4 linked regions of the Drosophila melanogaster genome follow. The protein of the gene in region 3 interacts with the protein of the main gene of each other region in a pairwise test. Each region holds a gene or a part of one and is shown on either strand. Other genes may lie near its edges.

The links.
Region 1: the proteins of CG5172 (region 3) and saturn interact in a two-hybrid assay, tested with the Drosophila melanogaster proteins (one large-scale study listed by BioGRID).
Region 2: the proteins of CG5172 (region 3) and Abcd3 interact in a two-hybrid assay, tested with the Drosophila melanogaster proteins (one large-scale study listed by BioGRID).
Region 4: the proteins of CG5172 (region 3) and mEFTu1 interact in a two-hybrid assay, tested with the Drosophila melanogaster proteins (one large-scale study listed by BioGRID).

The regions. Positions count from the first base shown.
Region 1 is NT_037436.4:14,199,359-14,206,235, reverse strand, and holds saturn (saturn), read right to left. Parts: upstream 2,914-6,877; 5' UTR 2,803-2,913; coding exon 2,584-2,802; intron 2,525-2,583; coding exon 2,027-2,524; 3' UTR 1,942-2,026; downstream 1-1,941.
Region 2 is NC_004354.4:19,747,905-19,756,282, forward strand, and holds the start of Abcd3 (ATP binding cassette subfamily D member 3), read left to right. Parts: upstream 1-2,865; 5' UTR 2,866-3,233; exon of another isoform or gene 3,234-3,443; 5' UTR 3,444-3,529; coding exon 3,530-3,642; intron 3,643-6,966; exon of another isoform or gene 6,967-7,399; coding exon of another isoform or gene 7,400-7,440; intron 7,441-8,378. Other genes in the region: Alr (augmenter of liver regeneration), read left to right, coding at 1,009-1,404, 1,484-1,725, 1,785-1,947.
Region 3 is NC_004354.4:17,217,654-17,224,604, forward strand, and holds CG5172 (uncharacterized protein), read left to right. Parts: upstream 1-3,788; 5' UTR 3,789-3,893; coding exon 3,894-4,119; intron 4,120-4,472; coding exon 4,473-4,556; intron 4,557-4,625; coding exon 4,626-4,834; 3' UTR 4,835-4,849; coding exon of another isoform or gene 4,850-4,893; 3' UTR 4,894-4,998; downstream 4,999-6,951. Other genes in the region: CG12998 (uncharacterized protein), read left to right, coding at 1,328-1,669; CG34327 (uncharacterized protein), read right to left, coding at 5,471-6,133.
Region 4 is NT_033778.4:13,502,058-13,509,832, reverse strand, and holds mEFTu1 (mitochondrial translation elongation factor Tu 1), read right to left. Parts: upstream 2,277-7,775; 5' UTR 2,175-2,276; exon of another isoform or gene 2,119-2,174; 5' UTR 2,090-2,118; coding exon 620-2,089; 3' UTR 501-619; downstream 1-500. Other genes in the region: mip120 (Myb-interacting protein 120), read right to left, coding at 1-44, 106-136; mars, read right to left, coding at 3,975-5,233, 5,291-6,797.

The sequences.
Region 1 (6,877 bases), on a different chromosome or scaffold from region 3:
CATGTAATAGTTTATTTATAAAGCACTTTCAGAAATGAATGAAAGTCTATTCGAATTGGAATACCACCTGTGTATCAAACCCTACACTTTAATACATTCTGAACAACCTCTTTTTTTACCCGTCTGTGTACAAATGGGCCTTAATCTGGATGAATGCATGGGAAAAGTGCAGCACAAAAGGGCGTGGGCCCGTGGAAACCCCGGGAAAAGTCACGTGCAAAAGACGAGACACACATGTCGAAGAAGATGGAGATGAGGACAACGCACGAGAAGACGGCGAAGACCCTCCGATTTTGCATGGGAATGTGCAGTATATAGCCAAAGACTGCGCTTGTTATTGTGGCTATTATGATGGTAGTTGGACGTCATTAAGGCGTGACGCCGTAAATTACCAAAGTGTAAACTACAGCACAAAACTATGTACGAAATCTCATAAAAGCGCGCAGCTCGAATTAAAAACGTTTTCTATTCCGTGGAAAGCGAAATTTATAGCCAAAAACAAAACCGACAAAAAAAAACACAATTAAATCTATTTGCACAAACGTTTCGCATACGCCGCGTTGTCTGGTGCGCCCAAAAATCATATGTATGCTATATACACATTTGTATATAAACAAATGCCACACACACACACACACACTTTCACATACTTTGGTTTTCTCAATGGATGCGGCGGAATTTTGTATGATTTTTATTCGGTTTTACACCGGAACACAAGTCACAGACTCTCGGGCGATTAATAAATAATCAAATCAGGCCAAAAAAGGACGACACAAATTTCCTGACATCCGCACGCGGTTACAGCGATGTTCGAACTAAAACCGAATACCACATTCCGACTTTTGAGCCGCCTGCTCCAATCTAAAGGCGACCAGCAAACAGGTTCGATGCGAGAGAGCCAACTAGCCAAATAATAAACAAAACGGAAAAGCAGGCCAAAAGAGCGAACAAGTGTGTGTGGGAGAGGGCTAAAACCATTGTTGCAGTTCGAACTTGCCAGACAGACTAAAATAATTACACAGCGAGTGTGAACTTACAAATGTCAATCATTTGTGACATAAAAAAATATAATTATAATGAAAATGGAGAAATATATTTGCTTATTCCTAAGAGAAAATGGTAGAATATTTATAATTTATATATTTAATAACATAATTTCTAATTCTAATCATCTTCATTCAAATTCCTCTTCTTTCAGCATTCAATAATACGATTTCACATATATCAATAAATATATTCTTTTCTTAAAATAATATACTAAAAAATAATATTTTAAGATAACATTTCAATACTGTTAAATATTTAATTTACTATTCTTTGTTGCCACCTAAGTCAACATTTATAGTCTCATTAGTAATGTTGAAAGGTCTTTGATGATGGTACTGTTTTTCTTTTTTATCTGGCAACTCTTTTACAATCCCATACACTTTCCCATGCAACTTGTTTGCTGCCAACATGTTGTTCGGCGATACTAAAAACTAAAACTATGCAACATCTACAAATCTGGCCAACAATAAACATTCTCATGTACCTATTAGATAGATGGCAATTACCTAAAACCGAAGCCAAATTGGCGACAGACGTACTTTCAAGCCGTTTTCAGCTGCCAAATAATTCAAATACATGCAGGGGGAAAAAAACGGGAAATTGTCGCCAGGTCTGCCAAATAGCCAAGAAATGCAAGCCAACTGCCAAACAATGTTGGGCCCCCGCAAAGTGGCTTGGAAACTGCCTCGATTAGGCAGCCGGCCACCTTTAAGGCTAATTGAGGGCCAACCACGTAGACTTGGGAACTATGCACGGGAAAACAGAGATACACAATGAAATAGGTGAAAATTACCACGAAAGACAATTGGAAATCACTTAAAGCCAAAACGCTTGCGAAGGCAAGATGTCAAGGTTGGCATAGGGCTATAATGAATTACGATCACAACAAGTTTTATACAAATCACTATGAATGGTTTATTACAAATTCGAGCACTACAATTTTAATGAAATTTCAATATGAAAATTCCTGAAAATAGATCTAGAGCTTCCATCCCGTTTTCGTGTTTGAAGGAGATGACCGTTTACGCATATTTCTATTTTCCACGGATACATTATTTTCAGCTATAATCTTCGTGGGTTTCGCTATATTAATGTGCTTGGTCTCATCTTTGGCTGGTTTTCCCTGATCTGTTAGAGCAAATCGCACCCTATTTTTTACTACGGAATCTTCTCGAGGTTCGGCGTCTGGAATCACAGGCTCCGGTTTATTTTCTTCTCGTACTAGCGCTTTAGTTTCACTAATTTTGTCGAATTCTGGGGGGAAAGGATCAAAGATTTCTTTAAATTCTGAAAGTTTGTCATCATTTGCGTTGGACTCTGGTTCATCCAAGTAATTAATATTACTCCTAATATCATCAGAAATCGCTAGCGGCGGCTTGGGTATTACGGTCGAATTTAGGGCTTCTTGCAGCATGGCCATATCCTTGGTTACAAACTTAACACGTTTTCTCAGTGACTCAATCTCCGACATAGGCACCTAGAACAAAACCCTATTAAGCCCCTTCTACTGTACGTTTTCCCCCCCCTTTAACTTACATCGTTCCATTTGTGTTTGAATCTTTTAAATACAAGTAAGAGGAGTACGATAAGGACAATCGTAAGAATCACCAGGTAAGTTGGTGATCTTTCCAATACCAGAAGTTTCAACAAATCAATGCCTTTAAGAGTAAACCAACAAGCCGATGGCCAAGAATTGCAATACGGCGATATCTTTACCGATGTTTCCAAATCAACTTTCTGACGATAGTTCCACATTTTGGGCCTGACTTTTTGTTAGTTTCTATCTGTAATTTAGGTTGTATTAAAACGGATAACCAACCGGTGATGTTATCACTTTTATAATGTGATTTGAAAAGTATTTTCTTTGCTTGCTAGACTGAATTCAAATGACAACATTTAAAATGTTCCTATGTGGAAAAATATTCGTTCTTTTAAAGAAAATAATTGTAGAATTCCACTCATTCCCTTTCCTTTTTCAGATAAAAATCTTTAACCTCTTCCCACAATTTTCCCTAATTGTTCTCGGTTCTTTAATGCATTTTCCCCCACCATTTCCCAGTGCAGCTTTTTTGAATGCCAAGTGCAGAGAGTGGGAAAAACATGTTCCCAGCAGCGGAGCAAAAACAAAGGCATTTGCATGACAAATTCAAGTCGGCCCAAGTTGTAGTTGCTTCGAAAAGAGTAGAAGCCATGGGAAGAACATCAAGGTCCGGAAAGTTGACAGAGCAACCACAATTTATAGCCTGCGTGGGGTTAACTGATTTGCACACGCCTTAAATGCAGACGATTTTAATTACTTTATCCGATTTCGTGCATAATTTTCGAAGAAATGTTTATGAAAAAAATTTGTTTAATAATTGAAATGCTAATCGATATTGATCGATGCTCTAGTAATGATCTAACTATTACAGCCTTAGTTTAATGATCAAAATGATCAAAAGTATATAACAGTACATAACGATACGAGATAAATGTGTCAGAATCGATAACATCAGCAGACTGAGTTTTATTTTGGGTCAAATTTTGTTCGCGACTTGACAAAAGTGCCGGCCTAAATTCTGAAGAGTTAACAATTGCGGCAAGTTAAACCTGTTTCTGGAACCCTCTCACTTCACTTCCTCCGATCGGATGAGCGAAAAAATAAATTCCAACAGCATGACAACCCCATCGAGTCAGCCAACTTGTAAGCCACATCAAGAGGGAAGGAGTTGGCTAAATTGAGGGGAGACAAGAAAAGACCCGCATCTTCTACCTTCAACCTTTTCGCTCGGTCCCCGAGAAAAGTTCACAAAAGCGGCCAAACTACTTTTGGCTCAAGAAGATGGCAGCAGGAAGCACGGTCGCCAGTTGACAAGCAGAACTGCCAAAGGAAGTTATATAAATTGCAGCAGATTCCATCTTGGAGCTCTCTCATTGTACTAACATAAATCTCATGCTGTTAATCTGATATATTTATTTTACTTTCGTTTTGGTTTCAGTTGCAATTAAGTCCCAGAAAAGAGAGCAATTTTTTTTTCGGTTGTAACTTTTATGACAGCCTCCCCCGCCGGCAATAATCATAAATTTTAGTTTTTGGGGGTGGCAGCGTTAGGAAAGCTCTTGAAAATTGCCCAATTGAACATCTATGTAGTTGTACAACAATTGAAACAGGCGAATAAGATGGGAAAAACTGATAACTAATTTAGGCAGAAGAAAAACAAGCAATTGAGCAAACCAGCTAATGGAAAATTGGGAAAAAAACCAAAGGCAACTTATAGCTGAAATTAACAATCTTAGATAAGCGAAGTCATGGAAACGCTTGTGAAAACATCAAATGTGATGAGGACAAATACTGAATTAAAAACTATATATATATATTTTTTAAGGAGCAGTGCACCAATAATTTTTTTAATTAAGATAAATTATAAATATTTTTATTTACAAATCAAAAAACCAAAACCAAAATGGAGCAAGAATGGGGGTTATGATTTATATGAAGCTCTACATGAAACCCCGAAAGAAATTATATTCAAGGGTGCTTACTGTCTCATGGATCCCCAACGACGCTGGGATAAACTATCAGGATTGCTGTAAGAAAAATTTTTATCAATTGGGATATCTAATAATAGTCTTATTCGGTTCAGTTTTAACCGCAATAGAAACATAGCAATATAGCAATCTTTCTAATCATCTTATTTTCTTTTATATAAGTTCATATATAGAATGAAATTTACGCCTAATTTTCCAAATATTTATATAGGCAGTTATTTAGAATTATTTAAAATTGCCAATATAATTATATAAAATTGTTATTTAAATAAATGATTTATTCTAGCTATAACTAGGTAACACTCATCACTGTATAATTTAAGAGAATTGTTGCACTCTCTTACGATCAGTTGAACTGTGAATTCACCACGGCTATGGCAACTTGTTGAACAAAGGCGGAAATAGAGTAAAAGAGACGGCGGAACACGACCAGAAAGAGAGGCACGATCGCTGAGTTGTGAGAGATTCCGAGACCCGAAGACAGAGACACGCATGAATCACGGCCCAAAGCGATTCATGAGCCCAAGTCAGAGCATAGAAAAAACTGGTTTCAGTCTGTGTATGCATTTTTCATGCCACACATACATGCGTTGAAACCAACAGACACAGGTTTACACAAAGAAAAGGTTAACTATTCAAATACGCTTTTTTTATGCTGCCTCGGACAGACAAATTGAGAGTTTTGAATTGATGAAGTCTCTGGGCCTGGTCAGCTTTATTTTATATTCACGGCTATTACGTATTCAGCTGGATTATGTGCGCAACCTTATAAATGCCCGACAACTAAGCAAATTCGCATTCGCTTCGATTGCCATTTTAAGAGATGTGATCCGATCAAAATGGGCGAGATTACCTGGTGGGAGTTCGTCGCAGACTGCGCCTGGCCCAATTATCCCGGGGCATTATGTTTAGTTCGTCATCACTGCAACAATCGAAATCGAGTTAGTAAATGCTCATCAGTTGTGACAATGGAAATACACAAGGCGTTTCAGTGTCAGTTAGTTTAAAAGATTAATTGACAGTAATCAAGAGGTAATTCCGCAAGACTAATGTTCTTTGCTTTACAGGAGTTACATATTTATATGCAATAAATTCATTAACAGTTTATAGAACAACTGTGTTCATATACATAAGTATATATTTTGAATTTATCGCAATGTTAAATGGATATGACACTTTTGAAACGCACTATATAAATGTTTCAAAAACTTACTCTTGAGGTGTTGATGAGCCGACGTGTGGAGCCAAATCGAGTTCGACGCCAGTGCTGCCATTTAGGTTGTTATTTCCATCGTTCGAGTGTCCACTGTGGTTGTGTCCACTGTTGTTGCCCACGCTGATATTAGAATTATTGTTAATATGATTGCTCATATTATGGCTCCCATTGGAATTGGAGCTGCGGGCTTCGCGAAGTTGGGTGGGATACTCATTTTCGCCATATCCCTCAAAGGATTCGCCATCCGAAAGGGAAGAACACTGAGATTTGGCAACGCCTGCTGAAGTTTAAAACATAATTTCGTTAGTAAGCTAATCTATGTATTATTTTAATGTTATCCATACCTGTACTGGATGGCGGACTGCTGGGGGTGGGACTACTGTCGCCGGACATTGTTTCCGCAAAGAGAAAATCATTTGTGCTAGCCTTTATGGAAGAATTTCCATTGGGTAACTGAATTCGGGGCATTGGTGCCATGTTTGGTGGAAAGCTTACTGCAGCTGCAAAAGGAATACAAAATTTAAGATATTAAATTTGTTGTGTGCGAAGTTTATATAGATGTTCAATTGGCTACAGACATGACATGCAGGTCAATAGGTCAAAGTGCCAACAAAAAATCACATGCAATTGCTGAAAGTTTTGCAAAAGCGCAAAAAACGAGCCCATCAATACATTACTTATTGATTGGAAAACCTATCGAGAAAGCACGTCTAAGCTGCCTAGAGCACTTAGTAAATTGAAAATTTTCGAAGCCCTTTGAGATTCTTCGAAAAGAAATAACACAAAATCTACTTAATTCCTCTTCAAAGTATCAGCATAAACTATGTGCTAAACAAATATTTGTAGTATACTAATTACACTTTCCTTGCCAACCAAAAATGCCTGTTCAGGAACAAACTTCAACAGGTGTGTTTCTCCGTTTCCGGAAAAAGGAAAATGAAAATTATCAGCCCAAAACGTCATTAGCTAAATGGGTCGAGGTTTTTCAGCGGACATTACTTCCCTTCCTGGCTGGTCACTTGCATTACTACCCGCTTTCCCCTTTCCATCAATTACCCAAAACTTTGAGGCATGACTAAGGGCCTA
Region 2 (8,378 bases), 2.5 Mb from region 3:
GGAGCAACAAGCGGCGCCAATTTTACATTTTATATTAACTTTTTGATAGTGTTTACACGCCTAATTTATGTGCGTTCTCGAAACTGATTGTAGGCGATGCAGCGGTTAAAGCTTACTGATCCTAACTCTCAAAACCACAACTAAATGCTGCGTCGCGTATAATCAGCCCAAGGAATGTTTATATATATATATATATATTTATGTGTCGTACGTCTAACCACTGCGATCTGCTCCAGATTCAGATTGCTCGGAACAGGAAGGAGCAGAGCAGAGCAGAGCTAACCCAAACCCAAAATCCGGCGGCCAGTTGTTAACTTGTCTTACTCACGTGCCAGACGTTGTAGTTGTTACTAAGTGAATTTATTGTATTAATACATTATTTGAACACAATAACCGAGATTGTGCCTTTAGATCACACAGAGCTTTTGCAAATTATGTCACAGATCAGATTTTAACGCTGTAAATGTAGAAGTTTACGGAAAAGTCTTAAAAAAAAATTTTATTGTGTACGTTAAAAATTTGGATCAGAAAAATCAATAAATATTGCCAATAGCATATGTGTTATTCTATTTTAAACAGTTCCAAGGCGCAAAATTTATCTGGGGCTGCAGCACTCACAAACGCCAGCTTCCATCCTATTCACATGTAAGTTCTTTCGAGCGTCTCGAATTGATTGAGAAACAAACCTTAGTAATTTTCTGAACGCTGTGCTATTTGAATTGTCGCGGTTGCGCGCGCAACTCGCAACGGTCTGGTATCGATCACAGCTGCGAGCAGGCTGCCAGATCGCTTCCCGTTCGGGAACGATTTCGCATCGATTTTCGATTGCTGGCCGGTATAATTTGAAAATGTTACTTTGCTGACCGGATTTTGGTCCTTGGCCAGATGTTGGCCATGAATCTAAAAGCCAGTATTTAGTAACTTGCGTTGATTGCAGCCGCTTAACTAAGCCGCTTAGCCAGATATGTCCTAATGTTATGTGTTTCGTTTCGAAACAAGGTGGCAACCATGCGCATGCTTTTTATGATTTTCACAATAGCCGAGCGAAGTTTCAAGATTCTAGAACTACCCACCACACCAACGCTTCTGCTGCGCCGCCAGTCCCACAACTACGGCTACGACTACATCAGCCCCACGCACATCGAACTCAGCCGGGAAGCAACTCGCCTGGTAATTCGCCGTCTGCAGCGCACCGTTCTCCGCCTGATCCGTGACCCGGACTTCATCATGTCTGCCGAGGCGAATCCCGAGATGGATAAGGAGCACCACGAGTCCCCATTCGCAGCGAACCGCAAGGCCGGTGCCAGCGGCGCCGGCAAACAGGACTCGAACTGCCGCACCTGCAACGATTTCAAGTCGTGGTCCAAGCAGCAACGCCTCATCTCCAACGTGCAGAGCGCCAAGGTGACGTGATCGCGTTGGCCACTTCGCCTTCGCAAGCAGGACGATAACACAAGAATCTCCCACTTTCATACTCCTCCAGGTGAAGCACATGGCCGCCGCCGAAAAGCTGACCGTCAACGCCGCCGAAGATCCGCTGCCCCGCGACGACTGCCCGCTGGACAAGGTGAGGCTGGGAATTTCCACCTGGGGACTGCTCCACACCATGGCCGCCTTTTACTCGGACAACCCCACGGACACCGAGAAGCGCGACATGAAGACCTTTTTTGAGGTTCTGTCGCGCCTTTACCCCTGCGAGTTTTGCGCCAAGGACTTTCGCACCGAGTAAGTGCATCTTCAATCCATTTGAAAACGCTGACACTTTAGCTGGACCTCTGTTGCAGCCTGGACGTCAACCCCATCAATGTGAACTCCCAAAAGGAGCTAGCACTGTGGCTGTGCAAGTTCCACAACCGAGTGAACGACAAACTGGGCAAACCGCTCTTCGATTGCACCAAGGTGAACGAGAGGTGGCGCGACGGCTGGCTAGACGGCTCCTGCGACTAGGCGCCGCAGCTAACCAGCGCCGAGAAGCCCCGTCTCCCGCCCGTTGCAGGTTGCCATGTTGACCAGACTTTGTCCCACATTTTGCTCGGCTGGCCCACAACTACAACCACGGAACACGGGACTCCTGCTCGGCGGTGTACCGCCGCCAACCCGAAACTGTGCCCTGTTTCTGGCCAGAGGCCATGCCCACCAGTCGGAACCTGCGTCAGCGTGACATTAAATTGAGTTATGTTGTAATAGAGCGACACATCGAAGGTCCATTGTTAAATGATTTGCTGGCTATGAACTCCATTAGAATATACACATTATGTTGAGGACCCGTATTATGCCTTCTCACTGGCCCTGCAGATATCGCAATCTCTAATCTGCCGACTGGCGTTTATTAGATTAGAATGGGGAAGGCAAATGCTTTCCACTTCGATAAGATGGGAGTGGAAAGATCTAAAGCGGAGTTGGAATACAATGCTTAGTTGGTTCGAAATTAGGGGATTTGGCTGATACTTATATAGTTTTTAGATTTCCTTTCTATAATACCTAAAGGACTAAAGGTCTTAAAATTTGTCTGCTCTGGTTATATTTTTTAATATTTAACTTAATTTTTTTTTGCAATCAACGAAACATTAACATTTTATTCATTTAACATTTTAATATGCTTAACATAAGAGATATAAAAATTAGTGGAATTTTCGTAAGAGTAAGCCATTATATGATTTACTTATATAACATGATTGCTCAGCAATAGTTTAGGTAGTTTAAGCGGGGAAATTTAAATTTGGCTAATTTAAAATATTTAATACCTCAAATTTAGATGAACGATATTTTCGATTCATAATTATCGGTGATAACTTGTTCGATAGCTCTTCGTTCAGAAATAGCCAGATTTGGCGGCGAAATAGCTGCCCCCGCAGCGCCGCTGCCCGCACATTGTCGTGGTAGCCAACACTAGCGCACATCGCACTACAGTTAGTTGCCTGCTGGCTTTTGCGCGTCGCACGTATCACTTCGTCAGATTTCTCGATTTGGTCGAGCTGAGTAGAGTGTAATTACCAAACAAAGAAATGCGCCTGGCTCAAATTGAATAAATAAAAGCGCCCGCCGTGTGTGACAATCACTTTGCCCACCCCCTTTGGCCAGAAAAGGAGCGCCACTAGCAGCGGAGGAAGAAGCAGCAGCACCATCACCACCACCAGTTGTAGTACAGGAAGAAGAAGAAGCAGTTGCCCTGAAAGAGAGAGAGGGTGCGAGCGAGAGAGGACGAAGCTAAGACAGGGCTGTTCGACAACCAGGTGTTTACATCCTGCTATCCACCATCTGTGTGTGTGTGCATGTCTGTGTGTTGTGTCGTCATCAAACAGCCGATTAAAATATTGAAATCCGTGCAATAAACAATAGTGTCTGTTCCCCTTTCATACTTACTATTTATTATAATTTTTTTTTTTTAATTTTTTCCTTGTGCAAACCCCCTCCCCCCACGTGCGGTTAATCGAACACTGAAGTGCGAACGCGAAATTGCGAATTGTAAAATTCACAAGGTGCCCAATTTGAAGCCAAACGAGATCCGTAGCCACATCGCAATAGCAGAATGGCCCCGGCTCTAAGCAAATTGGCCAACAACCAGAGCGCCATCGTCGGCGTGGCGGGCATGACGGCGGCCCTCTGGATAATTGCCTACGGAAAGATGTCCAACAAGAAGCGGTAAGCCCCCCCTTGATCTTAATTACGGATAATTGTGGCTCAACCATGTTATTTATGTTGCCTGTGCAATATGCAATATTCTACGAACATCTTATTGCACAAGGTCTCGGTCTTGGCCATCGATGTGTCCGTGATATTGACTTGAGTTTTGGATCGCTGTGTATTTATGTACAAACAGATTTGTTTGCGGGACATACGATGCGATGCCACTATTGTGGGTCATCTGGCGGACTGCAAAAACTGGTTTTCCGATGGCCGTTTCTGCCACACTGTATGCACTTCCCCCTCATTGTAGTCCGGTTTCAATTGATTCGTCCAGCAGCCGCGCACAGTGGGCCGGACAGTTCGTTTGCAGCTCCAAATACTGTTCTTTTCAATTGTGTTACCCATTGCCATAATCTTATAATAAGTTTGGCGACCACCAGCTTACGTTTTGAAGATTCTCAAAAAGATATTTTTAAGTGCAGTCCCAATACAAAAAAAAAGTCAACAGATCATCGATTCATTTAAGTAGATGTGAACCAAAGTAGCTGGATCTGTTTGCAGTCTATCCCTATTATGTAGATATACTGATATCTAGGATAGGTCTGAATGTATATATTGTCTGGGAGGAATGGAGGAATTCCGCGTACTTAGCAGAAGGTAGACTCAGATAGGCACTACATTTCCGGCCAAACAGCAAACTCGATTAGGAAAGCCTTCTCGGCGCCCTCGACTATTATGACCCGAATAGCCACTTCTTGGCGGCCTGCTTCATTGCGGTATCGCTTCAAGGATTTCCCCATCGAGCACCTGCGATGCGGACTTGATTCCCCGGTTAAGGGCCACGTTTCGGTGTTTGAATGGACTTGGTCTTTGCCGCTAATCTAATCGGCAACGCGCCAGTCTACAGCACTTCATCTATATGCCCCATTCCACTATCGCCACTCGTGCCGATTATGCTGTTGTTAACGCGCTCAATATTTGGTCATATTCGATGTGTGCGGGGTTCGGCGCGCAATTGACCGCTATCAGTCGATTTCATCTTATTGAATAAACTGAACGGGTAAAGCGGGCGCAATCGACTATTTGCATGACAGAGCCAATTAATTAGACAGATTGCGGCGGACAAGTGGAGTGGGTGGGTGATTGCATTGCCAGCCAGCCAGCCAGCCAGCCATCCGCATGGGATTGTGGGGGATCTGCCGTGGCTGCATGTGCCACTCGTTAATTGCTAACATTACTCCGAGTACTCGGAGTATGCCGAGCACTCCGATGTTGGATACCCAACCGGTGGCCATCACTTTCAGCAACTTCTCTGAAGTGCACTGCACTTTGGCAGGCGATCGAAATCGAGCATTTTAATGCGCTGTTTACTTTTTTATGCAACTTTTGCGAGCGAGGTAGCCGCCACTTGTGGATGGCCGCTAAATTTATGCACCATTCCATTGTTCGAATTTTGCACAGTGGATGGTGCAGTCGGTTCAATGGATGCAGTGACTGGACACTCCACAGTCCAACCAACCAAATGGGCTTCGCAAGTGGAGCTCCACTTCGATTATGCTTTCATATGAATCAGTGGTTGAATTTTGTGGTTCATTTCATATAATTTCATTTAATTTCATTCATTCTATGATTCACTTTCAAGTCCAAGAGCTAATCGCTGAATGATTAAGAACGTTGAAAGTTTAAAAGGGACTTTTCGAATGTGTCAACGAGTTTCCGAGTAGCAACGCCTCTTGCACAACTTTCAAGGCGCTTTTTTATCGGTGTTTTTTTTATAGCCTCATATCAAGGACAGGCCCTAGAATTGTTAACTGATATGGTACGGTTATGCTAGCTCGTAGCACCGCCAATAATGTCTTTGCAATCTATCAAGGGTTTGGACAATTGGACAACACACCCAAGCTCATTAGTCCAAAGGTCCAAACACTTTGACTTGACATCCAGCAGCCTGCCTTGCAATCGAACACGCAACCACCGGTGGGCAGTTTGCTTTTGGTGTTGCAACAACACTCGATTGTACCCCTTACCCGGACCCAAGTCCGTACCCATACCCACACACACACACACCCATTCCATGGATGACATGATGACACCCGGGTATAAAGCATAAACATTACAGCCGTGCCTTTTAATGACTTGCGTCGTGCCATCCACAACATTGGATGGAGAGAAGCGCAGAGGACCAGTGGCTTCTGGTTTCATTTTTCCATTTCCATTTCCATTCGCATTCCCGTTCCCATTCCCAGCTCTTTGCCTTCGAGATGGGTAATGGGTAATGGGGTATAGGTGTTAATTTGTGTACAACTTGCTCTGTTTTTCGCAGGTAGACACATTCTGTATCGCCCGGCCCGTCCCGCCGGCTGTTGCGCAATAGCTTGTGTGGCTGTGCGCGCTCCAGACTTTCGGATGGGGAAGTGGAAGAGTCGGATGGATGGAGAGACCTTGTGCCCGGGAAACGCTTGGCCCTCGATAATCGGATTGCCCCGCAAGGCAGCCATTTATCGTGTAATTTGTATAATTCTCGCCTTTACTCGGACGGTGCGTGAAATGAGATCGTAATTTCAATGCAGATTCGCAGCCGAGCTCTGACATTTGCACCTGTTGCGGATGCCACGTTGCCAAGGCCTGTATGTCTGTCTGTCTGCCTGCCTGCCTACCGCTCACTCACTTACTCACTCACTCACTCACTCACTTACTCGCTCGCTCACTTGCTCACTCGCTCTCACTTCTGAGACATCGCAAGCGGAGTGGAGTGAGCGTGTGAGTGCCGGCAGACTGACTACGGGTCTTGAGGTCTACAGGTAACAGCCAAGGCAACAGGTGATGAGTATGCCCGAGCTGTGTCGAGCTATCTGATTTTGGCCAGCGTTTATCAGACAAACTAGCTCGATAGCGGCTGCTATGCGGCACAAGAACCACTGAACTTTGATTGCAATCCGCGGCAATGTCTCTATCTGAGTCAGACGCCAACCGATCTTCTCGCGCCCGGGTTCAATGTGCCCCCCATTAGGCGATCGCCGGCGATTAGCGAAAGAGAGCTTTGGATGAATCGCAGGGGCAGGCGATTTCGGAATGGGAATGGGAATGGGAATGGGTATGGGTATGGCAATGGGAGCCACCGGTGTTGACCTATGGACCCAAACACATGTTCCACGTCTAGGCGGTGAAAACAAGTTTAATATACTACGAATCAAAAAAGGAAAACCACACGAGAGACAGCCAGACACACAGACGGATTGAAAGATAGATAGATGGAAACATATATATATATATATATATATATATATATAGAAATAAATACAAGAGCGCTATGAATAATTCAGTGATCTGCGCAGCGATATTTAAGAAATAACCAAGTCATCACGACTCGTCGCTTTTTCCAGCCTGCAGATAACCAAGGCGCGAGCTTTGTACTTTGTTTGGCCTAACATACCAGTAGCACCAGCACCAGCACCAGCACCAGCACCAGCAACACCAGCACCTCACATCTCATCACCCACATTATCCCATAGACTTCGAACCCTGGGCAGGTGGCGATTTTGGACTCCATCCGATTCGATACGATACGATCCGATCCGATCCGATCCGATCCGATTGGCGATCCAATGCCGGTTAGCCAATGGCCCAGTGGCTTGTGTTGAGCTGGTCAGCTCTGGGCACCGGTTTTCATCCGGACCTTGATCCCACAACGATTAGCAGCTGAAAAGAATTCAAACAAATTATCTCGGAAGCATTTCATGTAGCAAATTTGGGGAAATGTGCTTTTTTTTTAATGTACGCTCAAGCAAAAGTGATAACGAAAGCCCATAGCTTGTGAGTAATGTTTGAGATAGTTAAACTATTTAGCCGAATTTCCATGCAATCTAAAATAAATATTTTATGTTTTTTTTTTTTTTTGGAAATTATAATCGTTTTAATTGATAAAACTTATCGATCGGCTAATTAGTCGAAACATTTTGTGAATTACGCACGTTAAATGGTGGACTTAAAAAGTTAGCCAACTGATTTATTGATCGATTCCATGGCATCTTGTTTGGAAAAGTTTCTACATATATCTGCACAATATTGAGTACTTTGCTCACAGCGACTTCGCTTGCAGTATTGCTGCATAGACGGGCTAAATGTTTGTTTATCAAACGAATCGAATATTTAGAGTGACGATTTGTTAACGCACGCAAAATTTAGCAGGCTTCATGTGAATAATTTACCGGATTGTAAAAAGTACGAACGATGATCGAGTCGTTTTTTTATTTTTTTGTATTTATCTATTTGTCATTAACCAACCTAATGAAGTGCGGTGGTGTGAAAAGTCATGGCTCATCCCGGCGTCTTAATTGTTGGATTTAATCGCACACCTTCATTGCAAATAAGCGACTTTATGGAGACACTAAACACGAAGTTCGTTCTTTATTTGCGGCGCCGATGATAGCGCGACTTGCTATAAAAAGGCAAAGGTTGCTATTCAAATTGGCTATCCAAACAGGGAGTTTAATTATTGTGATTTATTTCATAAATTTGCCATCAACGTTGCACATTTGCCTGGCCAATGATCGAAACTGCACAACATCGTTGGCTAAAAACAGTTTTGGAATGATAAGACCACTCCTCTTATCAACATTTTTCATAACTGCTGTACGAGTTTTAATTTATTATTAAGTTTATTGAGCCATAACCCAAATCCATTAGCACTCAATGGAGATTTTGAGCAGTCCAATTGTCTGCCATCCACAAAGATCAAACATATGTATTAT
Region 3 (6,951 bases):
CTTGTGGAAAAGAGGCCGCGGTGTCGCCATTGCCCCAAGCTCATGATTGTTGACTGTTGACTGGAGTTGTTTTATTTTTTGTTGGCCATTATCCGAGTGGCGCCCAGGTACAGTGGGAAAATTGCACTGTCAGTGCAATTGGATGTCATCTGGTTTGTGTTTGTGTCCAGATGAGTTTTATAGCGATCTGAGGTCAGCCGCCTTAGTTGGTGAATGTTGTCGGGGAAGTGATGATTTCATCTCTCGCTAATATCGATGATACATGGAATTCTAGAGCACTTTAATGGCCTAGATGTCCTAGATGGAATTGCATATCTATAGCTGAAAAGTTAACTACCGACCTCAATGGCAGCCTATGATCTAGAAACTTGTTGTTTATAGCCCAAGTTATAATTTAAATACACATATCAACCATCACGTAGACATTGAATGTGGTTTTGTTCGGGGCTTTCCCTTGTCCTTCGGCTGACTGTCAGGATCAGGAAATGTCATCGCCAAAATCCAGTTATTTTTTTTTTTTTTGCCCCCTTCACTTGGGATCTGCATCTGCATCGGCATCTCCATCTCCATCTCCGTCTTCATAACTATCTGCAAGTGTCTCCGTTTGCGGCTTAAGCTGCCAGTTTGACAAATGACTCACCTGACGCCAACTTCTCGGTTTCAGCTTAAGCTTAAAGCTAGACTGCACAAAACACTGTTTAAAATACCGATAATTTAGAGATATTTCTCTAGAAGCCTTGCTAGGTTAGCTTTAAGAGCGTGATGACACTATAGTCTGGATGATATACATAACATTTATCAAATTTCACGCACACCTTTATTACTTTATATTCAACCCTTATTCCAAACGTCTAGTTATTTCTCGCAGTGCAGGCTCTGCTGCAGTTTCCGCCAGCAGCGAGGCGAGGAAATGATCCATCAAGCGTGTGAGTTATGTACGAATTTTGCAACTTTGCCACATGGTTGGCTGACTTGGCTTGATGGCTACCCAGTTGTGGCTTCTGCCTCTGCTTGTAAAGCAGACCCAGTTGACCCTGGTCAAGAATCGGACGCTCAAAGTGGTTTAATAAACTGCAATTACCCGACCTGGCCGGGCCGGGCCTGGCCTGGCCCAGCCACCCGCCACTGGAGATTTATTTTGTGGATTCTCGTCCAGATTAGTCTGGGCCACGCAGTTTGCAGTTCGCCAGTTATTTTTGCGATAAATAGCGAGTGGTGATCCAGTGGTTACAGCATTCGAGTGCCACACTTCGAGACGCACAGCAAAACAAACCAGGATCTACTCTCCGAGTCAGGACTAAAAGCTTAAAATCCCAAACCACACATAATGAAGGTATTCATTGTACTCTGCGCACTGGTGGCCTGTGTTTCGGCCGGATTGGTCCGATCCTCGGGCTGGGGATCGAATCCTTGGGGCGGCAGCAGCTCCGGATGGAATAGTGGCTGGGTTGCCCAGCAGCCGCAAGTCATCAAGGTCATAAAGATCGGAGGAGGCGGCGGCTCCGGATGGGGCGGAAACTCTGGATGGGGCGGTAACTCCGGATGGGGTAGCAACTCCGGATGGGGCGGCAACTCCGGATGGGGTGGAAACTCTGGTTGGAGCAGCGGCAACTCCGGATGGAACAGCAATGGATGGTCCAGTTCCAGCTCCAATAGTGGATGGTGGTAAAGAATCGAAGAGCTACCATCTCTAGGAGACGAAAAATCCAAGCACAATCCCAATCCCGATCCCCTCTCTCCGCACCTGGTTCACAATCCACCCGATTTTATAACATAGTTTTTAAGTACCATTTTTTTTTGTGTAACAAATAAATAAATGAATAAATCAAAGGCATAAAGTTAACATTTTTATGATGCATCATCTTTAAATTATGGATCGTTAGCAATTAACATTCTAAGCCTGGGAGCCGACTATATATCTGACTGAGCAGTTATTAATATTTTATGCATCGCGCAAATGATTGTGGAACAGCGTCTTGGTGGCCAAGGTGGTGATGCGATTGGAGTTCAGCGGAGATCATCATCATCATTTGGAGGTGGAGGCACTGTGGTTACACTTTTAGGTTTATGAAAATATAAATGTCAAGTATATTTGCGAATCGATTTATTATTAAAACGAAGCATAAAATTTAATTTTCGGGACTTAATTAAATGATTTATTTAATTCAGCTTTTGGTTATTTGACCTTTATAATATGAAATGAAAAAAATTATCGTTACATTCTAAAATCACTATAAAGTAAACTTTCTTAAGAAAGAAAATCAAGCATAGATAAAATTGTATTTTTTTATACATTAATCAAAGCCACAGAGAACTTCCCTTATTTCAACAACAAACGGTTTCATATAAAAATGAAGGCCGGATTTTATAATCTTTGACGGAACGACATGTTTTATATATATTTATATTTTTTAATGAAAATGTAAAATACCAGCTTGTTAGTGTCTTCTTATGAACCTTAATTATTGTAACGGAATATTTAAAAAATATAAGACAAGGATTGAAATTAATTGTAACTTTGTATAATATTTTGTCTATAATAATTCATTTTACTGGTTATTGGTATCAATTATATGCATTTGTAGCTTACTTTGCCAGTTTCCAACTTAAAATTGTACACTGTACAGACAATTTTCCTAAGCTCGGTGGTTTTGGCTCTGGGTTAAGCCCCCAACTAAACAAATGTTGTTTGCGCATATCTGCAGCACGCGTTGGGAGCCAAGAAAAGCAATATGTTCACATTCACGGTGGAGTTGATGAAATTTATGGTAAGTAATGCACTTGAGCGATGCAGCCAGCCATGTTTGCACGCCAATTGACATTGAACCAGTGTCTGCGGAGTCGTGTCTCCTCCATTTGGCGATTCAATTGCGGCTGCTGTATAAATGAAGATTAATCGCCGCATACATTGCATGGCTGTAGTGAGAAACGAAGCCGAAATTAAACATAAGTACGAAATGAAAATTATATTAACATTTTTCCTTTTTAACAGCACCGTTTTAATGCTCTGCGAAAATTCAAATTGGTCGATTTAAATATCCATAAAAATGTTTGAAGTAGTAAACAATATGATTAAATATTCAAATAAGTAACGTCTTAAATTACCGACAAGCTATAAACAATATATCGTGTATTGAAGGTTTAAGCTCTATTTATGCAAAAACCTATTAAAATATGTTTGCATTGAATAAACAAATAAAATACGGGAGTAAGCCTAGTATACATTAAATACATTCGTAAGAATAGTTAATATATACCAACGATTCCCAACGATTCTCTACAGCGTCGGTAAATTTGTTCCATTAATTCCAAACTTTACTTAAACCTGCCAAGCGGCAAGACTGAAAATAATAATTAAGAAAATTCAACAACAAATTGAATGGATGGCGCAAAATGAAAAAGGCAAATATTCTTAGAATTTCGCATAGAAATAGTAAACTTGTAAGACAAATTGCTAGGCGTTTCGTGGCCAAATGTGCTATGTGCGCTGGCAATTAATGATGCAGCCATGGCTCAGCAGTTTGCAAGTGGTGCGGTGGCGTATACGCGATGTTCCCAGACAGCGCACATTGCGTATCCGCCGAGTGCGCCGACGTACTTGAGACTTTTTTAAACCAGACAAGTTGCTGGTGAAGCCAGCCGCTTGCCGCATTGTGCCGACATGAAGTGCAGTTCTTAACCTTCCTTTGGGAGCTCCAGCTTGGAGTTGAAGGGATGGCAGGCTGCTGACTCAGCCGAAGTTTCCGCCTTTCGGAGCTATAAAAAGGTGCCTCGATTCTGGGTTAGTTCATCAGTAATATTGAGCCTCCAGCAGTGATTACACAGCGGTTCTAAGTCGGTCTAACAATCTTTTTTTTTACTATATTTTTTTGAGTGACTAAAGAGTTCTAAGGATGCGTCACGCTGTGATCCTTGTTTTCGTGTGTTGCCTGCTGATCGCCTTAACCTCAGCCGGTTTGCTGGGCGGTGGAGGCGGTGGTGGTGGCTACGGCGGTGGTGGTGGTGGTGGCTACGGCGGTGGTGGTGGTGGTCAGAGCGGCTACGGCGGCGGTGGCCAAAAGAACGGAGGAGGCGGCCATGGAGGTGGCGGCCAGGGAAGCTACGGAGGCGGTAGCCAAGGCAAGTGAATATATTTGGGATATGCCTATAGTTAATACTAACTATAATCCGATATTACTTCTATGCCTAATTTGATTTAATAACTTAATAATGAAATGGATTTTGTTATAATATACTTTATTGGTTCTAAAAAACTCATTTTACAAAAACGTTTTATGGTATGTAAATAGTTAAAATGCTTTCAGCATACAAATGTTTGGTCAAAACATTTAGAAAATATGTACATAATAAATATTTGAGTAATTTATAACCTCATTTAAAAAATTGTCAGCTAATATTTAAAATGTATAATTTACCGATGTTAGGGTTAAGGCTTACGATATCTGTAATATTTATATACACTTGCCTTCTAGGTGGACATGGAGGCGGTGGCCAAGGAGGTTGGCAGAAGAACGGAGGAGGTGGTGGACAAGGAGGCTATGGAGGTGGCAATCAAGGTAAATATTAAGTTCAATTAGTTTAATCCAAGATTACAATGCTTTTCTTAACCTGTATATTCATTTCAGGTGGCCACGGAGGACAAGGAGGTTATGGCGGCGGCGGTCATGGAGGCGGTGGCCATGCAAGCAAGTCCTTGGCCGGCAATCGCGGTAGTTCCGTGTCCTGGCAGGGCGGAAATGGAGGCAACAAGAACGGAGGCGGCGGAGGAGGTGGTGGTGGCCTGTACGGTGGTGGTGGCGGTGGAGGTGGCAAACAACATGGCGGTGGCTGGTAATCAAACCACCAGGAGCAGCTAATCCACCGTCTGATGCTGACTTGTGTTCCATGGCATAGAGATAGAGACAATCCCTAGATTCTTCTATTTTTCTTCTATCGAAAGCCCAATTTTTCCTGCTTTTAATGTTTTTTATACTAATAAATCTTGTTTATGCATTTTGTAATTATATTTGTTTTTCTATGGGGCACATTACATTATCTACTACATTATCGGGGAAGTAAAATTATATGAAAAATTATAATCTGTTGCAAAAATTGTATCATTTTCACCAAAGAAATAAAAATAGTTAATTTAGATGCAAAAATTAAAAAAGTTGGCGGCAATGGCAAATAATATACGCCCAAAATATATTTACTATACATACTAGCTCTTTACATTTTCAAACAAAAATTTTCCCTTAATTTTCTTGATTCATTTTTTAAATTATAAATAATTGAATAAACTCACCCATAAAAATAAAAACGTGGGATAAAATTACTTTCTTGTAAGATTTATTCACATAGTTAGATACACAAAAAAAAAAAATGGTTAATTTAAGGGCAGAATTATTATGTACAGGTTGAGCAGTGGATAGTGGTGTCGCCTCGTCGCCGATTTTTCTCGGATGGATGCCGTTTTCTTTCCAGGATCTGATTACCAGCTCCAGCCGCTGCCTCCGCCTCCTCCGGGGGACCAACCACCGCCACCTCCACCAGAGGACCAACCGCTGCTAATCTTGCTGGGCCAAGCGGAGGACCCTCCGGAGGACCAACCACCAGATCCACCGCCGCTCTTCCAGCCGCCGCCTGAGGAACCACCAGATGACCAGCCACCTCCACCGCCGCCGCTTTTCCAACCGCTGCTTAAGCTTCCCAAAGCTTGGGATTTCCAACTGGAGAGACTGGACAGTGCACTGGATAATCCCGAGCTGCCTCCTGACTTCCAGCCAGAGCTGCCGGAACTTGGCCAGCCGGAGGATCCACCGGAGGACCAGCCACCTGAGCCGCCGCCGCTCTTCCAGCCACTTGAGCCGCCGCCGCTCTTCCAGCCACCTCCTGATCCACCAGATGACCAGCCGCCTCCGCCGTCACCACCGCTCTTCCATCCTCCAGATCCGCCACCTGAGGACCAACCTCCTCCGCCGCTGGAAGGCCAAGCACTGATAATGACCTTACTGCCACCTGATCCTCCAGAGGACCAGCCTCCACCACCGCCGCCACTGCTCCAGCCATGTGGTTTGCCCTGGGCGACTATGCAGCCCAGCACCACCAGCAGACCGAGAAGGCCAAGTCGTCGCGTTGTAATCGTGGTTTGCATCTCCGCAGCTGCCGTGCACTAACTAATGCCCCACTGCAGCCACTCTCGACTATTTATACCCATCCAAGATTCTGAGCCACAGCTTCGCCACAGCCGCTGCCTCGTATAATCAGATGTAATTGCCAAAACTGCCAGCGACCAGCTTACAATGGCCAGTGCTTGGGCGCTTCGGGGTGGCTCCGAGTGGTTCAAAGTGGGCCAGAGTGGCTCGGGTGGTGGCTCAACTCACCTCAGTACTCGGGCCTCATTATGCCGGCATCAACTTTCGGTTTCGTACGCTTTGTGGGCCCACGTAGGTCGGCTGTTTTGTGCCCAGCAAACGCCCCCAGATGGAGCACCTGATTTACTTTACTATATAGATGACACTCTGTAACAATGGATTCATTACCTCAGGATAATGGATACGATCAGCTCATGAAAACAGTGGGAAAATGTCAGGTGTTATGAATGCAAATTGAAGAGCTGTGTGGGCATTTAGGTGAAGCTCACTTAAATATATATTAAAAAAAAACGGGTTGTTTAAAATTACAAAAGGACTTTTTTAAGCAAGTCTTTATAATAAGGTAAATATATTTTATTCAATTATTCAAAAATTATACTTATTAAAATCATTTTATAAATTTCAGCCCAAGGCATACTTTTATTTTGCAGTCTAGTGTAGCCCAGTAGCCGATACCGCATCATGATCGCCGATCTAATGGCTCTCCATTTTTATGTAGCAACCGCAAAGTACTTAATTGAGTTCGCCCGCCGGCGGTTGGATGGATACTATAGATATAGGTGCCAGGGATTGATCTGACGATCGGTTCTTTATGTCT
Region 4 (7,775 bases), on a different chromosome or scaffold from region 3:
TTCAAAACTCAGCTCCGGCAATGGTTCCGTGTCGTCTAGGGAATCTGCGGACAAAATAAGTTATTAATTACTTTGCAAACAAACGTTTACGGTGCTTGAATCTACCGGTCAAGTAGTCTACGCGGTAGGTACTCATTTTTGCCAATTTTCAAATCAATTTCAAAATGTTCTTTATCATCAGCTGCGTTCAAGGCGGTTGCAGCAGTGTTGTAAAATGTCGTAGTCAGGTTATTATCGGCCTTGTTTGATTTTATCGGCTCCATTTCGATACCACTCTATTTCGGATGCCGTTAACATAGAGCGATAAGCAATCGATGAGTGGCGCCTAAATTAAATATTGCCCTTTATCAATGATCAATGCTTACTTACATAACTTTATATAACAAATAGTCCTTTGAAATGCCGAAATGTCAGGCAACAACAGTAATACTTAAAAGCCGTACTATTTTAAATCAATTTTAAGATCCCTACTAATATTCCAAGTTTTAAAACTTCGTTGTCCATAGGTGTTTGTTTATATTTTACTCGATTGTGATTGGAGCGCCAACAACTTATACAATATGCATAAAAATCGCTTAAGAATATGATTTTAGTTAATGACTGACGGCGTTCCGGGGATCTACTTCTTAGCCGCCACCTTCTTCTCGCGCGCCTTCTTGCCCTCCGTCAACTCGGATCGCTGCGATTCAGTCAATGGGGGCAGAGTGCTGGTGACGACACCAGTGCCCAGGGTCAGGTTTCCGTCACGCAGCGTGAAGCGTTGTCCCTGCTCCAGGACCATTGGCCGGATGAGGCGCAGAATGAGCTTGGTGTCTTCGCCGGGCATGACCATCTCCTTATCGGGAATCTGCACCTGCACGGCACAGTCCCAGGTGCGGGAGAACATCTGCAGTTGGATGAAGGACATGAAGGGCTTTGTGCGACCGCCTTCATCCTTGGACAGGATGTACACCTGGGCCTCCAGCTGATCGAGTGCCTTCACACTGCCCGGCTTGCACATGACCATGCCGCGCTTGATGTCATCTCGCTTAACGCCGCGCACCAGAGCTCCCAGCTGATCACCGGCTTGCGCCTCCTCCAGAATCTGGTGGAACATCTCCACGCCCGTCACCGTCGACTTCAGCACCTTGTTATAGCCCACGAACTCGCACTCCATGCCCTTCTTGACCACTCCGCGCTCCAGGCGACCAGTGACGACGGTGCCGCGTCCGGGAATCGAATACACATTCTCAACAGGCAGCAGGAAGGGCTTGTCCAGCTCGCGCACAGGCGTGGGGATGAAGCTATCCACCTCCTGGAGCAGTTTCAGGATCGCCTCCTTGCCGATCTCGGGACTCTTGTCCTCGAGGGCGCACAGCGCCGAGCCCTTTACCACAGGGATCTTGTCACCATCATAGCCCATCTCGGTAAGCAGCTCTCGGATCTCCATCTCCACCAGGTCGACCATCTCCTCATCGGCGGCGTCCACCTTGTTGATGAACACCACGATGTGATCAATGCCGATCTGCTTGGCTAGCAGCATATGCTCGCGAGTTTGGGGCATGGCGCCATCGGTGGCGGCCACAACGAGAATGGCGCCATCCATCTGGGCTGTGCCGGTGATCATGTTCTTAATATAATCGGCATGTCCCGGACAATCTGTGTGGCCGTAGTGACGCGTCTCCGTCTGGTACTCCACGTGGGCTACATTGATGGTAATACCACGAGCCTTCTCCTCGGGCGCATTGTCGATTTCATTGTACTTCTTGCTCTCGGCCAGCTGCTTGTCGGCCAGGACCTTGGTAATGGCCGCCGTGAGCGTGGTCTTGCCGTGATCCACATGGCCAATGGTGCCCACATTGCAATGGGGCTTGGTTCGCTCGAACACCTTCTTCTCGTTGGCGTACTCGCGCAGGTACTGCTGCATGTTGCCGGTTCTGGGCGCAGCAAGTAGTCCGTTTCTCTGCCAATCCTTGCAGGCCGTGGAGGTGGCAGTGGCACCCGCCATACGCAGCATTCTGGCAGAGCTCATGGCGCGCCGGCTGCAGCGCAGGGCCAATGACATGGATGCGGTGGACCGGCAGACGGCGGCGGCAAATGCATGTGACATGGTTCTGGGCTTCCTATTGGCGCTTTTAACTAAATGTGTGGATTAGAATATGAGCTACGCGATGGATAGCTCCTGCTGCACTTACGAGTGAAGATTTAGCTATCCTGGCAGGGGGTAAAAAGCCTTTTCACAGGTCGAAGAAAATCTTACGGCTCGAAATTGCGTAAACCCTGAAATGTGCTGTGCGCCAGAGTTGCCACATGGTGGAGGTTGTCCGATAGGCCACCCACTTATCGATACGTTAAATTATTTAAAAAAAAAAAAATTTATAATGGTAAAATAATTATAAAACATTAACATTAATTAAAACAGGCTACTACTTTAAATATTTACTTTGAAATAGAGTAATATATTTGACTGCTACTTTTGCATAAGAACATTGAAAGGGGTGGCAGCCCCTTGTTGACGTTATTATTTTGTGCGCGTTTTTTTCCACCCATTAACCACCCATCTCAACAACTCGTCTAAACTCATAGGACACACCAATGCCAAATATAACTTGCTAATTAAATTTATGTGCTTGCCAATTCTCTAATTGCACGTTAGCATACTTTTTACAGTGTAAAAACATTTGCCCCCAAGACTGTACCCCACTAAAAACACCAACACAAGCATACAAATGCCCATGTGTGTAACAAGCTGTCTGGCAACGCAGCGCCATGGGATGTTCCCAGATCGTTAAAAGCACTTTTTCGTTTCGTCAGCAGAGTGCACAAACTTACGAAAAATCTAAATTCAGACCCATTGCCAGATATATGCACACCGCAATGCAATACGCACTCATAAGTTAGCTTGCCGGTGTTGTGGCAGGGGGGTAGACAAGCGAAGGGGGAGCCGCAAATCGAGGAGATCAATTTGCGCGCCAGCGAATGGCCCAACTGCCATGGCGAGTACACGCTGTACCAGAGGTTGAAAATTCAATTTGAAATACGAAATGACCAGATCCTTACCCAAATTTCCGCCACTCGTGTCCATGCTGGGTGTGTATTGTGTATGCTGTGCCGCTGTGGTTCGCGTATTGTGTGTTGGGCGCTGTTTTGAATGCAGTGCGCGGTGACTGCGGACAAAACAAAAAGAAAATCTGCACACTGGGAAATGTGAATGCGTTGAACTCAAAGGGCGTCGCGGGCGAACGAAACGGTCGCGAGGCGGTTAGTCACTGCGGTGAGATGCGCGTCGCGATATCACAGCTATGTGCACTTTCATTTGGCGGCCTTATCAACGAGTATTTACAATCGAGTGCAACAGCAAAATTCAAAATTCAATTTAAATTGCCGTCGAGTGGTCTTCCTTTACTTTTATGAATCAGGGTGAGACCGTGTCGCTACCGTTAAATTATACCGCCATACACACGCAGATATACTGAAATTTCCTTAGGAAATACTGGAAAATACTTCAAAATTATACGGAGCCATGAAGGTGAATGACTTGGGTAATATGTTAGCAAAGACTCATACCAAAACTAAATTCTTAAAATTTATTTAGACAACTTGAAAAATGCAAATATTTTAATATTAATTTTCTGGAACTCCAAAATTCAAGTTTTACTAGTTGAGTCGCGTAATCAAATTTCTGTGTTGTGATATTAAATTGTTAATTTTAAATTTCGATCCCCTTTCAATAAGAAAAGCATTTCAAATTTATTTATTCTTCTCTTTTTTATTCCTTTAACTATGTCTAAATTATAATCAAGGTAAGATAGATAATTAAAAATAAAATAAGCTTTCATTTTCACAGAACATACTCGTCGAACATTTAAAACGCCAAATGTAATTTTCAACATCTTAATAAATTAACACTTAATGGCATCCGCAAAAAAATATTAAACTAAGAAGATAAAAGTATAAACAATTCCACAACGGACAATTACTGTCAATAGACAAAACTACATAAACTCGGAGGAGGGACGCAGATTCACCCGCCGATTGCGCAGCGTGTACGTGCGAGGAGTTGCTTCATTCTCCTGATTGGAATCCCTTCCCGGATTCTGTTCCAGGGATCCGCTTTCCGTGGAGGCTTCCAGCGACATGTCCTCCTCGCAGTCCTCCAACTTGTCGGCGCCCACTGTCTCGTCGTTGCTAATGTTTCCCTCCTCGTAGGTGAACTGGAATCGTCGTACGCTCTTCTTGGCGCTGAAGAGCACGCCACGGTTCTGGCGTTTCGTGGTGCCGGGCGTCTTGAGGATGGAGGTGCGCGGCTTAGGCGGCGGCGTCTTGGCAGCGTTCTGCTCGGCGGCCGCAAGAATCGCTGATTTCAGGAGCGCATTTGGCGCAATCGACTGACGGCCCTCGCCGGTGGACATGCGGAGTACTGTGCGGGCGGGCGAAAAGGATCGGCGGTTGCGAACTACGATTACTCGCGGCGAACTGTGGCGCGAGGACGTGGCGGGCAGGCCATCCTCCAGCGTTGGCTCCTCCACCTTGGTCTTCTTCATGTTGGCATGGGCTTTGCGGAGGAACTGCTGCAGATTGCTGCTCGGCTTGGCCTTCGATTTGATCTTCATGTTGCGACTTATCTTGGGCTTGGGCTTCGGCTGTTTGGGTTCCTCGGCCACGGCATCCGGATCCAGCCAGTCGTTGGCCTTCCAACGTTTCAGGTTATCGAAACGCTTGTCCACGTTCTCGCTCTGCAGGCGCAGCATGTCCCACCAGCCCTCCAGATCCTCAGCCTGCACCGGTTTCGAATCCTCACTGCCATCGTTTGGCTGACTGTTCTTGCCGGTCGCTCCAGCCTCGCAACGATCGATCAGGCCGCTGAACTGCATCATCTTTTTTGTGGTCAGCAGACGTGTTTGACCGATGGTCACGTTGATCATGTCAATGCCGCCCGTTTCCTGCAGCCGTGCCTCATTCTCCTTGCTGTACGCCTCCCATTCAGCGCAAAGCGCTTGGAGGCGCGTGATCTCGTTTTCCAGCTGCAGTCGGAAGTACAGAACCGATTCAATGGCACGGCGAACTTCCAAGGGCGATTCCTCATTGGACAGGTAGAAGCTATTGCGTTTCTCCTTCTCACAGCGCGAGTTCACCTTTCCCCGCGAGACACTAACAAACGGACTGAGATAGTTGGGCATTCCATTGGATTCGCGACGTGGCGGTGTCTTTGTACCCTCTGGCACCAAAGTGGAATCTCCAGTGTCTTCTTTAACTGAAAGGAAAATGTGAGTTTGAGTTTAAGATTGGAGAAGGCGTATCCCAAACTCACCCGTCGTCTGCTGAGGATCCAAGATGAGCGAGTCCTCCGCCGGCGAATTCGCCACTGAGTAACGCGTAAAGTCGAACTTTTTCTTTGCCACCGGACCTGACGCCTCTTTCTTACCTTCCGGCAGCAACTGCCTTTTCACCGAACTTTCTCCTTCAGCTTTGACCGGTGCCACCGGGCTCAACAAGATGGTGTCGCCAAACGCCTCCAAAAGATGACCGCTGCTATTGTTCGACTTGCACTGCGTTGATGTGGCCTGGTCGATAAAGGGATTATGGATATCGTCTAGCGGCGTGAGAGGCGGTATATCTAGCGTGGCTGCGTGCAGCAACTCGGCTTTGAGCTGAGGAAGCTTTCGCACGTTGTCCTGAAGCCTCGTGTACTGGCTCTTTATCTTGGTGGCCTTCATTCGTATGGAGTGACTTGCTGCCTTGCTGGTCGCTCCAGCTGTGTCCTTGAACTTGGCCGCGGCACCACCTCCGCCACGTATAGGCTGTGGTTTCACGACATTCGCCCGTCGTGTCACTGGTGCCTTGTTTCCTAAAGGTTTCTCGAACGGCTTGGACAACACATTGGGCAGTCTAGCTGTCCGTGGCGCTGGCGGCTCAGGTAATCTTGGCTTTGTGCTGACCACTGGTGGCTGTTGTCGTATGCCTGGCGTTTTCGCTTTCGTGACTGTCGCTGGGGTGGGTCTGGGTATGGTGGTAGTGATCTTTTTCGCTTCAATCCCAGGCTGCCTTACACTGGTAGTTTGCTTCGTTGTGTTGGGAATGGGTCGTGCAGCTGCTTTTTGCCTGGCCAAGGCCACTGGATTGTTGTTCTGACGAATTGCAGGCACTATTTTTGTTGCAGAAGCAGCTGATTTATGCCTGGCCAAGGCGGAAGATGCAGCCACGGTATTGGATGACGGAGGAGCTGCTGCTGACGTTGGCTTGGGTATTGAAGGTTTAATCGGTTCTGCGGCTTTTCCCTTGCCCGTCGGATTGGCAATCATGTAGAGAGAACACCGCTTGGGAGGCTGGAACATGGGAGCCGCCTCCTTCTGCTTTGCAGAAGCCAGATTATCGGGAACCCGAAATGTTTGTGATTTGGGCAAGGCCTTTGATTGTTTTACTGTCGGCACATTGATGGCTGCGCCTCGACGTTTCTGGTCTTGCTGCTTATGCTCCTTGGTCTTGGCTATCTTCCACTCCATGTAGCGTTGTAAGTAGAGCTTCTGGCGGGAGACCTTCGGGTTGGATTCCTTCAGCAGTTCTGCGGGCTTCGTGTCCAGCCGCTCCGGACTCTCCAGTTTGGGTGCCACATTTTCCTGGGTCAGAGCAGCTTGGGCCGCCGCCAATTGCTTTATTTTGACGGGCGTCGGGCTCACGCTGATGATGCGGTTCTGATAAAAACAATCCTCTCGTTTTTTGGCGCGCGCCGCCTGCAACCGATCCCTGTTCTCCTGGCAGTGATTGCGCGGACTCAGCACCAGCGATTGCTCCTTGTACAGTTCCTTGTGGCGCTGCATGGCGACTGCTGTGACGGATGGGCGAGTCAAACTGAAGTGTCCGGTTGGGAATGAAACGTAATGCTGACTTTTCCGGCGAAGCGTCTCCTGTTTTGATTTTTAAAATGGCGAAGCGTCTTGCGGTGTGACCAGGTGAAGGAAAACTACGAAAGCCCTGCGGTATGCCTCTCCCACAGTGTTGTGTTCAGTATATTTTCTTGGAATAATAAAGCGACCCGGCCACGGTCACGCTGCTATGAAAATAAAAGTGAATTACAAATTTAGCAGTAGTAATATGTTAGCCAAACCGCTCCCGCGCCTAATTAGTGTCGCTTAAGCTTGCAGCCACCCTAGCCCTTTGAAATTGTAAGCCCGGCGGCCTCTTTGCACGTGCCAGAGACTCGAAAATAGTTAGCCGCAACTTACGCATATAGAAATATAAGCGCCGCGTGTGTGTGTGTGTGTGTGTTTATTGGGGTTACAAAAAATAAAACAAACAACAACGTCACCGCGGCAGCATTGCCAACAGCAAGCACCCACGCCCTAGATTGCCAAATGTTAATTGTGTTCTAAGCGACACATTTCATATTATTTAAGGCAAATTACTTCGCATAACAACAAGTAATAGCCAAACATCGTCTAATTGCTTTTGCGGTACCTGCTTTTCCCCGAAATTCCAAATCGCAAGCTGCTGGCAACGCTGCCACGCTCACGCACACACACCCACACAGTGGCCGCCGTGGAGAGAGCGGCTCGTGTCTGTGTTCATTCTCTGTTGCTGCTCCGCCTGGGAATGTCGTCGTCGTCGGTGTATTTTTAATCGCTTTCTTCCCTTGCCTTCGCACAAGATATATTATTATTAACCGAACTGAGAAAAGCGCACTGCCGAATATCCATGATTTATCGTTTATATAATGTGCGCTAACTAATCGCGGATTCGTCTCGTTTCGTTTTCATTTCCACAGCACTGAGTAGTGAGTGAGAGAGAAATTCAAAGAG